Daphnia pulex: one gene and its partners. The protein of the gene in region 1 interacts with the protein of each later gene in a biochemical or structural test. Links are inferred from orthologs where the notes say so. Each region holds a gene or a part of one and is shown in the gene's direction. Other genes may lie near its edges.

The links.
Region 2: the proteins of histone-lysine N-methyltransferase EHMT2-like (region 1) and chromobox protein homolog 1-like form a complex in vitro, tested with the Homo sapiens proteins (2 studies listed by BioGRID). The link is inferred for Daphnia pulex from reciprocal best matches to the Homo sapiens genes EHMT2 and CBX1.
Region 3: of the proteins of histone-lysine N-methyltransferase EHMT2-like (region 1) and DNA ligase 1-like, one has a biochemical effect on the other in vitro, tested with the Homo sapiens proteins (3 studies listed by BioGRID). The link is inferred for Daphnia pulex from reciprocal best matches to the Homo sapiens genes EHMT2 and LIG1.

The regions. Positions count from the first base shown.
Region 1 is NC_060028.1:9,379,421-9,382,501, reverse strand, and holds the end of histone-lysine N-methyltransferase EHMT2-like, read left to right. Parts: intron 1-40; coding exon 41-210; intron 211-271; coding exon 272-430; intron 431-497; coding exon 498-707; intron 708-780; coding exon 781-925; intron 926-984; coding exon 985-1,093; intron 1,094-1,157; coding exon 1,158-1,329; intron 1,330-1,393; coding exon 1,394-1,472; intron 1,473-1,544; coding exon 1,545-1,892; 3' UTR 1,893-2,568; downstream 2,569-3,081. UniProt on the Homo sapiens protein: Histone methyltransferase that specifically mono- and dimethylates 'Lys-9' of histone H3 (H3K9me1 and H3K9me2, respectively) in euchromatin.
Region 2 is NC_060019.1:11,841,810-11,845,549, forward strand, and holds chromobox protein homolog 1-like, read left to right. Parts: upstream 1-1,559; 5' UTR 1,560-1,697; intron 1,698-1,936; exon of another isoform or gene 1,937-1,938; 5' UTR 1,939-1,994; coding exon 1,995-2,113; intron 2,114-2,179; coding exon 2,180-2,429; intron 2,430-2,500; coding exon 2,501-2,598; intron 2,599-2,704; coding exon 2,705-2,861; 3' UTR 2,862-3,154; downstream 3,155-3,740. Other genes in the region: heterogeneous nuclear ribonucleoprotein A1, A2/B1 homolog, read right to left, coding at 43-324, 386-596, 656-776, 874-1,016, 1,152-1,256; uncharacterized protein LOC124191317, read left to right, coding at 3,673-3,740. UniProt on the Homo sapiens protein: Component of heterochromatin. Recognizes and binds histone H3 tails methylated at 'Lys-9', leading to epigenetic repression. Interaction with lamin B receptor (LBR) can contribute to the association of the heterochromatin with the inner nuclear membrane.
Region 3 is NC_060017.1:4,260,895-4,265,235, forward strand, and holds the start of DNA ligase 1-like, read left to right. Parts: upstream 1-1,502; 5' UTR 1,503-1,599; coding exon 1,600-1,628; intron 1,629-1,691; coding exon 1,692-1,784; intron 1,785-1,931; coding exon 1,932-2,036; intron 2,037-2,105; coding exon 2,106-2,204; intron 2,205-2,264; coding exon 2,265-2,470; intron 2,471-2,554; coding exon 2,555-2,703; intron 2,704-2,760; coding exon 2,761-2,896; intron 2,897-2,962; coding exon 2,963-3,122; intron 3,123-3,223; coding exon 3,224-3,562; intron 3,563-3,769; coding exon 3,770-4,214; intron 4,215-4,290; coding exon 4,291-4,341. Other genes in the region: sorting nexin-13-like, read right to left, coding at 1-105, 165-334, 397-629, 688-896, 973-1,078, 1,145-1,251.

The DNA.
Region 1 (3,081 bases):
AATTCCTGTTCTAAACTTTGGGGGTACTTTCGTTTTTCAGGGAGAAGGAGGGATGACTGCGCTTCACTTAGCATGCAAAAATGGCAATCTAGAAGCTTGCCATTACATCATGACAATCGGAAATGGCAAAAATTTCATCAACGTTCAAGACGATGGAGGATGGACACCACTAGTCTGGGGTTGTGAACATCGACGAGTAGACATAGTCAAGTAATGATCAAACATTTACTGAACCTGAGGTCAATTCTACATAAAATAACTTTTCTTTTAGATACTTACTTCAATGTAAGGCAAATCCTAATGTGCGAGACGCGGAGCAGAACGTTGCTTTGCACTGGGCTGCTTTCTCTGGATCCGTTGATATTGTTGCCCTTCTACTTGACCAAGGATGTGAAGTGAATGCTGCCAACGTTCATGGCGACACTCCACTGTAAGTTGATTTTTGTTTCATTTTCAGGATGAGTTGATTTCTTTATCGTTACATTGTGCAATTAAAGGCACACGGCAAGTCGTCGAGATAACTGTGAATGCGCCTTGCTCCTGATACATAGAGGCGGGCGTTTCGATCTAAGGAATAAAGAGAATCAATTAGCTTTAGAGGTTTGTCCTGATAAGCGGTGTGACTCGGCTTTATTGTTGACGGTCAATATGAAACTTCAGCCATTTACTCAAACGCCGTATTGTGACTCTGAAAAATTCCTCTCAAAGTAAGATCAAGTATTCAGTACAAGACATATTCAAAGAAGACTTAAATCAACGGATTCTTCAATTGTTTTACAGCGACATCACTAAAGGGAAAGAGGCCAACCCGATTCAGTGTGTAAATGGATTTGACGATGAGCCTAAGCCTAACGACTTTATCTACATCACAGAAAACTGCTTCACGAGTCCACTACATGTCGACAGAACCATCAACTCGCTAACGGTATTGTTAAAATTACAACTACTAAATAGAAAAATAAGTTAAACAAAATTTAATTCTAGTTTTGCGAATGTGTTGGTGACTGCTCAACCAACTGTAACTGTTCTAGTCTCAGCTTTCGTTGCTGGTACGACGAAGAAGGCAAACTGGTGCCCGACTTTAATTTCGCAGGCAAGTCTTGGATACAAGTAGCCTATGTTAAAAATTACTAACACGTTTAGAATTATTGCAACAGATCCGCCAATGTTGTTCGAATGCAATCGTGCATGTCAGTGTCATCGGGGATCGTGCAACAACCGTTTAGTTCAACATGGAATTACCTCGCGTTTAGTTCTTTTCCGCATCGAAAACAAAGGTTGGGGCGTCCGAACAGCTCAACCCATTCCTATGGGATCCTACGTCTGCGAGTAAGTGCACCCGAACTTTGTCGTGATTTTCGTAGATAATAACCTTGTTTATCTCATCTCGTAGATACATTGGCGAAATCATCACAGACTTTGAAGCTGATCAACGTGAGGATGATTCATATCTTTTCGATCTGGATAACAAGGTAAGTTTATGAATGAAAAAGTACTTAAGCGAAAGTTGCTGCATGATCTTACCTATTAATATTTGTTAATAGGACGGAGAAACTTACTGCATCGACGCCCGCCGTTATGGCAATATAGCCCGCTTCATCAACCACTCTTGTGAACCTAACTTAATTCCGGTAAAAGTTTTTGTCGACCACCAGGATTTGAAGTTTCCGCGCATCGCATTCTTCGCCGTCCGAGATATTGAAGCCAATGAAGAGCTGGCTTTTGATTATGGTGACAAATTTTGGATTATCAAATATAAGTCATTCACGTGTTCGTGCCAATCGCCGAAATGCAAGTACTCGCAGTTGACGATTCACCGAACAGTAGAAGAATATCGGCGTAGCCTGCAACTTCAAGAACTCGAAAATGGCTACCAGCACTCCCAACGTTAGTAATAAAAAAACAAATTTCTAGTTGCTGCCAACTTATGCATGCGCTCTCCCAAATGCCATTCATTATTACTCTTCCCGTTATACTTTGTCTTACCTTCGTTCAAAGTTTTACATAATGAACTATTGTTGACTTGCAATATGCCATTTGGATTCAACACTACTCAAAATTTTGCCACCTACTCCCCACTTCCATTTGTGCTCTATCATACCTGCAAGTTGGTTTTTATTACCTACGAAACGTTAATGAACTCAATTTGGTAATGTTGAAGAAAAGAAACGATTGTTTACCGTTCCCTCACCTACTTAATTTTTAATCACCATGATTACGTCGTAATGAACTTGTTGTTGACAAGCAACTTTAGGAATGAAATGATCCCCTGCTAAACAAGTGCGTGTAGAAAAAAATCCTTGTAGCTACGCGTTGATCAGTATGTGCAATTTGTTTTTTCCTAGTCCCATGTTTTTTTTTTCCTATAGCTGTCCTACGTCTTATCAATGTTAATGGTAGCTCCACTTTACATGGGTAACACTATTCGATTCAAATGACTTGTGGGTGCATCGTGCATCATCTCTTCTGTAAATAAATCTCACCTGAATGTATGTTCAAGTCTCGTCTCGCATTTTCCTCCCTTGTACTTGTCAATTTTTCTTGGCAAAATATACCTCGTTTTGCGTAGATGTTGCTGTTTTAGTTCCTTAATGAGTGAGCCACTCCTCATTCTACCTGAAATGTATAGAAATAGTATTAATTCATTTCAAAAAGAATTTTTAAAAAAGAAACAAAATGAATGTTTTGTTTTTCTTTTAAACAAGCGCGAATAACGGCCTGATTGTGTAATATTGCACGATAAATGAAACAAACCTCAGAAAAAACGATAACACTGACGCAAAACTCTTCTGTCCAAAAAAGAAATTCATCAACATACATAAAAATTGCTTGTCAAACTACACCACCACAATATTAATGAAAACCATCATGATAATGACAGTGAAGTGATAATAATGCGCAATATGTCGATCTTGTCGGGAAGAACAAGGTGAAACAATCAGGTGAGAATTGTCTGGGTTTTTATGGGTAGGGAGTGAGTGAGGGAGTGGGAGATTAGGCGTAAGGAACACACTCAGTTGGAACAATCAGTACCAATTAAATTCTGGAAAGATACTTTGGCAAAGAAAAGTGCAATAACAA
Region 2 (3,740 bases), on another chromosome or scaffold:
GATTAAAAAGTGATAATAAGTCAATTTTATTTAAAAACTTACCTCGATAACTACTAGATCCTCCACCAACCCAATGATCTCCATTGCTCCAGCCCCCACCAGAACCTCCTCCGTTGCTCCATGAATCCCGTCGTTCCCACAAATCCCCGCCTCTGTCGGCGTTTCGGTCACCTCGGCCGCTATCTCGATACCCGCGGTAATCACCACGACCTGAAGGTGACGATCCAGGAGAAGGACCGCCACGCTTCATCTTATCCATATCAGCTTTGCTGATAGCTTTTTTAACATCTAAATGTCTTCCTTTAACAGTGTGGTCACGAATCACTAGAACACACAAGATTTTTTTAGTTACAAGATACCAGAAAAATGTAGGCCATGTACTTACAAACAACTTTGTCAACTGGATCATAATCATCAAATTCAACAAATGCAAAACCTCTTTTCTTGTTGGTTTCTTTTTCTGTAACAACATTCACTGAGGCGATTGGACCAAATGTTGAAAAGTACTTTTGCAAGTCCTCTTCTTCAACATCATCCCTCAGACCACCAACAAAAAGTTTTTTGACAGTTGAGCTTGCTTCAGGTTTGCCTATCAACTATTTAAGAAAATGTTAGACAAATATTTAGAATAGAATCAATAGTAAGACAAACTAACATCTCTAGGGACAGCACGCTTTGGCTCAACCTCTCTGCCATCTACTCTGTGAGGTCTTGCTGCTTGGGCTTCATCTACCATGAAAGCTCGGGCATATGTTACAAATCCAAAACCACGAGACCTGAAAGAATCATTACCCCAAATTAATTTTCATTTTAACATTAAGAACACTTTATCAAAATAGCATTCCAAGGTATGAAAGACTGGTATCAACTTACTTCCTCGTCTTGGGGTCCTTCATTACAACAACATCCACAATCTGGCCCCATTGTTCAAAATGTTTTTTCAGGGATTCATCAGTTGTGCGATAGTCAAGTCCACCAATGAACAACTTTCGAAACTGCTCAGCTTCAGGTTTCTCCTACAAATCAAATAGAATGTTTGTGTCATTTAAATAAACAAGGAACTTAAAACTACGTTTCACAATACGTCAAGGGTCGCAAAACTAGGGGTTCCATCATCAGCAATTTTATTTATTAATAAAGCAAAATCTAACCTTAACGGTGTGTTGTTCTGTTGCTGGTGGTTTAGTTTCTCGTTCTTCTTCTTCAACGACCGGCTCAGGCTGTTGCTGCTGTTGTTCTTCGGTTTCGGATTTCATTTTTCGACTAACCAACGTGTAACACAAGTACGCCGGGATTGCTCACTTCTTCTTCTTATGCTTTGATCAAAGCGTCATCCAGCAAAGTCGGAAGGGAAGGAACAATGTTGCCAAATTTTGTCTCGATTGCAACGTTGCCAAGTTGTACGATTTCCCAACAGCAATCAGTATTTATTTTATTATTTTTTTCTTCTAATTTGATTATGTTTTATAAAAACAACTAGAATAAATAGCTGGAAAAATTTAGAATTTGTTCTTGTATCTTTTGGACCACTTAATATTTTTATCAATAATTATTTTATTTTTTTTATTAAGTGCAAATTTGGCGCCCTTTTCTCGCTCTCCTTTTTTCCCCTTAGAGTCATGGTTTCCTACTAAACGCATTTCTTGTCGGTTTGTTACAGACTTTTCAACGTTTTTTATCACGCGAATTAAGTTAAGGTAATTGAGTTTGGTTCCATCAGCCACAAAATATTTTTGAATGCCCAGAAAACTACACTTATTTCATATCATTTGCCCATGCCAAAATAATCTATTATATTTATTATATTCGATTGTGGCGGTGAGAAACGTCTATGTAACCAAGCTCGTGATTAATCCCCTCAACAAAAATGTCTATTTCTCGTGTGATCAGACTCCACTGTGGCCGTGATATATAATCTTTTTATCTGTTTATTTGCAGATAAGTCAGCTCTTTTAGAAATTAGTATTTGTGAAAAAAGCTACACAATTTCCAACATGGGCCGAAGCACAAAAGGGAAAGAGAAAGAAGTTTTGGATGAACAAACTCCTGCTACTCCAGCAACAGAAAGTCCTGCTGAAGAGGAATACTCTGTTGAAAAAGTTATGGATAGAAGGTATATATAAATATTTATATTGTCGTTGATCATTATTGACCAACAAATGTCATCTATCAAATTCAGAGTACGAAATGGCCGAGTTGAATATCTCCTAAAGTGGAAAGGCTACGATGATGATGACAATACCTGGGAACCTGAGGAAAACCTAGACTGCCCTGCTTTGATTTCAGAATTTGAGGAAAAAAGAAAAGAAAAGGAAAAGGAAAAAAAGAAAGAAATTGACAAAAAAGAGAAAAAGCGTTCACTCCCAATTGAAGAACGTGACAAAAAAACCACAGAAGAAAAAAGACCAGCAAAGAAGAAGACTTCGGAGGTTTGTGGAATTTCACGACAATAAGTTGGCTTTGGTTATGATCATTTATACGTTTTATTTGTGACTTCCAGGAAGAAAATCGTCCAAGAGGGTTTGAACGAGGACTTGACCCCGAAAAGATTATCGGCGCCACAGATTCTAGTGGCGAACTCATGTTTCTTATGAAATGGTTCGTATAGTAAAACAAAAAGTTGTTCAATGTCATATGCTATTGTATCACAAGTTACAGCATCTTAATTAACACGTTTTTTTTTGATTATTTTTAAATCTTACAGGAAATCCAGCGATGAAGCAGATCTAGTTCCAGCCCGCCAAGCCAACAAGCAATGTCCACAGGTCGTGATTCAGTTTTATGAAGAGCGCCTGACATGGCATAGCAACGCCAACGACAATGACGACGGTGACGTCAAAGAGAAAGACGCAACCGAATAAATAGTTAAAATCCTCAAATTTCGATGTCTTAAAATGCTATTAAGCTGGTTTTAACTAAAATACTGAACCACGCGAAACTTGTCTTACTTCTCCGTATCCTCCCACGTCACAACAATCCCTCATTTTTCGTTCATTTACTCATTTTCATTTGCATTATGGTCTTCGAGTTTTTTGCACGCTCGGCATTGTTTTTAAGTTTCCATGAACGCCCCGAGTTATATTCCCTGTCTTCGAGTTTTCTTTTCCAAATGTACGATCGAAGTAACCAGAAATACAACGTCAACTTTTTCGTACGTCATGCTGCCACTATAGCTGAACTGCTATCAGTACAAACTATTCATTTACCCGCGTGACCTTAATCTTACGGCTTGATAAAAAAAGTCTTGTTGATAAAAAGTATTTTTCCATGGGCTCTTGGGTTAGAAAGATGGCTAAACGGCAAAAAAGGTAAAGCTCTAGTCCATTAACCGACGTAACGGTGTTAGTTCACTTCGCTCCAAACTGTGCCAAGTTCGAAAGACGAAAAAGAAAAACTGATGGCGTAACACAAACGTCAAAAAGTGCAAATATCGTGGTAGTTTCCTTTTACAATTGTAACTAATAATTTCAATATTCGAATCTTGGGACTGTTGGGATTGACGTAACCTTTGAATTAGAAATACAGCGGAATATTATCCTGAATTTGGACCAATTCAGAGAAAATACAAATGTAGGCGACTAGATCCTTGATTTAAAATGTTTTCATGAATCTAAATGTATCTTATTAATTTCCTAACTGCTTTCATTCATCATTAAAGACAATTCCTTTGCGATGGTTTCTACGGAATTCCAGAACGAACCATCTTTGACGCTACAAATTCAGATTTCGCGACCAAGATT
Region 3 (4,341 bases), on another chromosome or scaffold:
AATTTCTTTGGTCAGTAGTTGTTGGGAAGCATCTAATTCTGAAAAATTTTCCGTGCAGCGTATGACGGACAGGAAAGAATCACTTGTTATTTGACAATTTTTACACTATAAGGGTAAAAACTGATTACAAAAGGAAACTAAGAATGTCAGTAATAAAATCGTACCAGCCAAATCACAGTTTGATTAATGTAGTCCGGATCTGAAAGCAGGTCGAACAGTGGAATGATAATTTCACCTGCTAGTATCTGGGAAGAGAGCAAGTTCAGTGGGCGACAGTTTAATTCTTCCTTTCCAAGTAGTTGAAGTAAGAAATCAGAAAGGATCTTTAAGCACTCTTTAAATATGACAAAAAAAATCAATTAAAAGGCCAACTCATTATTAATAAATATCTTCAACCTTTTTCATAAGAAGGATCCATTGAAATTCTTTTTCTTGAATTTTTTTTGGTACCAGATCTTTCAAGTTCAAAAAAAGTAGCGACAAGATTTTGATTCATGCCTTTTGCAGAATCGTCATTACTAGTCTTTTGGTTTAATCTGTTTTTTGCCTCGCGATATGTACGTATGTGAGCAATCACACTGTCAAAAAATCTTGTAGTAAGAAAAGGAAGCCAATCAACTTCTTTGCATCTATGTGAAGAAAAATATAGCAAAACAAGTCATTGTGTCAAATAAAATACTTTGATACCTATTGGATGCATTGATTGCTATTTTTTGCAAAAACTGTTTTGATTCAAACAGGAACTCTGTTTCTTTTGTTACTAAACTGTACCAGTTTTCAACATAGTCTCGTATGATGTATTGGAACACATCTTGCACAGCATCATCAATTATACTTGAGCCAGAAAGTCTTTTATCCACACTTATTTTATTATCTCCAGCTGACTGTTTAGTTGACTAAAATGAATCAATTAATAATTATTAGTTAAATTTAATAATTTCATTCTGTCTTTTTTATTGACTGTTATACTACCATTTTAGGCAAGCTTTGTGACGCTGCTGTACATTGAATGCTGAAGACATCCAACAAGTCTGTAGAAACTATTGATTGGGTCTCATTAAAAAAACCAACGAAAAAACTGTAAATCCATCAAGGGTTGGCTGATTATAAGACTGAATGAACATTTGGCATATATATTACAGACCTTGCTGCTAGGAAGATGAAGAAAATTGTGGTAGAAAGGGCAGTATTGAAACCCATCATTACTGCAATAAAAACTACTGCAACTATTCCTATTCGATGCGATTTCATCTTTCATCTATCTAGTATTGAAACTCAGTTATTTCCAAAACACTGTAATTTGGGATCATTTACAGAATCGAAAGATGAAACAAACAACCGTAATGCCAAAATATAGATACATGACCGAGTTCTTGCATTTAATTACAACATCCACTAAACCAGCTAAAACTAAACAAGCAAATGCTCATTAGCTGTTGCTGCACTAGAAAAGGCTAACCAACACGGATGATCGAGGGTGTATTTTACAACTTTGTCATCAGATGGGTCTGGAGTCTGGACTCCTCCAATAGGGGCAACCTTTTGTTTTTTTGTAGATCTAGGCGCGAAAAATAGACAACACAATTCATCAACGAAAAAATGGATGGTCAAGGACAGCGTCTAATAACGTAAAAATTCTGTTAATAGATTGAAATTAAATTTTGTTTATTACCTCTGAAGTTCGTGAATAGGTCTTTTTTTGGTAAACCACGTGCAACGTCTGTTAAGCAAGAAGTAAAAGAGGAAAATATTGAAAAGAAGAGTACTGACGACACATCGTCACCGTGAGTAGCAAAAACAAAAACTATGCTTTCCAGATTGTTGAGATGCAATGCCACAAAAGAAATTATTTTCAATTTTAGTAGATTGTGCACTGTAGATCATTTATGTGTTAAACAAAAACCCAAAACCTTATTTTTGCAATTCATTAGGGAAAAAAACAGTTCTTTACTAGACAAGCCAGCAGTTCAAAGTGCTAAGAAGAAAGTAATAAAGAAACTTGACAGTGATGATGAGGAACCTGTTTCTCAGAAAAAGTAATGAGCACTGTAGATCATTTATGTGTTAAACAAAAACCCAAAACCTTATTTTTTGCAATTCTTTAGAGAAAAAAACAGTCCTTTACCAGACAAGCCAGTTCAAAGTGCTAAGAAGAAAGTAAAGAAACTTGAAAGTGACGATGAGGAACCTGTTTCTCGGAAAAAGTATAATGAGCATTCCAGTATCAAACCCACATTTTCATTTATTATCTTACTTATACTTAGGAGAAGAAAGTGTGCAGTTAGTAGCAGCAGTGAAGATTCAGAACCAGATAGTGCGATTGAGAAACCGGCTGTGCTTAAAAAAGCAGATATTTTTTTGAAAAGTGTGAAATCCCCAACTAAATCTTCAAAATTACCTTCCAGTAATGAAACTCCTCTCAATGGGAAACTTGAAATTAAAAAATCTAATGTGTCACTAACCACCAAAGGTTTGATATAAGACATATATTACAGAAAGGTGTTCATGGTGTTACCTAAATATAATTGTTTTAATGGTAATTTTTTTAATTCAGATGCACATGATTCAAAAGATGGTGTAACTGAATTGTTGAATCCTGATTCATATAATCCTGGGAAACAAAATTATCATCCTATTCAAGATGCAACATGGAAAAAGGGAGAAAATGTCCCTTACATGGTTCTTGCTAAAACACTGGAATTAGTAATTAAAAATTAACAAATTCTACATTATACCTTATTTAATGGAAATGTTTACCAGATTGAAGAAACCAGTTCCAGGTTAAAAATGATAGAGATTTTAGCTAACTATTTCCGAAGTGTTTTCCTGTTGTCACCAGATGATTTACTATGTTCTGTTTACCTATGTTTAAATCAGTTAGCCCCTGCATACATGGGTAAGTCCAGCATAAAATCAAAAATAATTTTTTACACCACTTTATATTTTGCTTAATGATTTGCAGGTATAGAACTTGGTGTAGGAGAAGGCATAATAATTAAAGCAATTGCACAAGCTACTGGAAGAGCAACAGATAAAGTTAAATCTGATGTTGCTACTAAAGGGGATGTTGGGTTGGTAGCAGAGGCATCCAAAGGCACACAGAGGACTCTTTCTATGTTTAAGTAATGTTTTTTTTTTTTTTTTTTTAATCTTAAAACTTATATAATATGTTAATTATTTATTTGGTTTGATTATATCAATTTGTTATGATTTATGTTTACAGACCAGTGAGTTTAACTGTGAAAAGCGTTTTCACTAAATTAACAGAAGTAGCCGTGATGACTGGAAATAGTTCTCAAATAAAGAAAGTTGATAAGATTCATGGAATACTCGTTGCTGCAAAGCAATTAGAATCACGTTTTATTACCCGATCGCTTGCTGGAAAACTTCGTATTGGGTTAGCTGAACAATCAGTACTTCAAGCTTTAGCTTTTGCAGCTACTGCAACTCCTCCGAACCAATCTACACCGCCTACCCAGTTGAATTGTTTTGCGGGACTTAGTAGCGAAACCATTAAAGCAAAAGTGGAAGCTTCGGCGGTTATTTTGAAGACAGCATATTGGTAAATATTGGCTCCAGATCTCATTTTATATTTACTGGAAATGTTTTAAAAATAATTTAATTAAATCTGAGATCGGTATTAAGTTACTACATTTACTCGCGCTGTTGTTAAGTGTTGCCCTTCGTTATAAGAGAAACAGTGTCAATAATGGAATATTTTTCTTTTTGTAATATCAAATATGTAACTCGATCATTTTCTTTCTTGCAGCCAATGCCCTAGTTACGATCAAATTATTCCAGTTCTCTTACGCGAAGGCGTAGAAGCGCTCCCGCTACACTGTACACTAACTCCGGGTGTTCCACTAAAACCCATGTTAGCGTGTCCCACACGAGGAGTCGGAGAAGTATTACAAAAATTTGAATCTACCAAGTTTACTTGCGAATGGAAATATGATGGCGAAAGAGCTCAGATACATCTTCTCGAGAACGGGGAAATCAGAATTTACAGCAGAAACCAGGAAAATAACACTTCCAAATATCCAGACATAATCAGTCGCTTTCAATCGTGGATTGAACCATCAGCTTCAGTCCGCTCAGCTATTTTGGATACCGAAGCTGTAGCGTGGGATACAGAGAAGAAACAAATTCTTCCATTTCAAATACTTTCAACAAGAAAACGAAAGGATGCTGTGGAAGCTGACATCAAAGTCCAAGTATAATATTTCAATATGTTCAACGTAAGCAACCATTTCCTTACCTTTTCGTTCATTCAAATTTAATCCTTAAAAGGTTTGCGTGTATGCGTTTGATTTGCTCTATTTAAATGGGGAATCTCTTGTT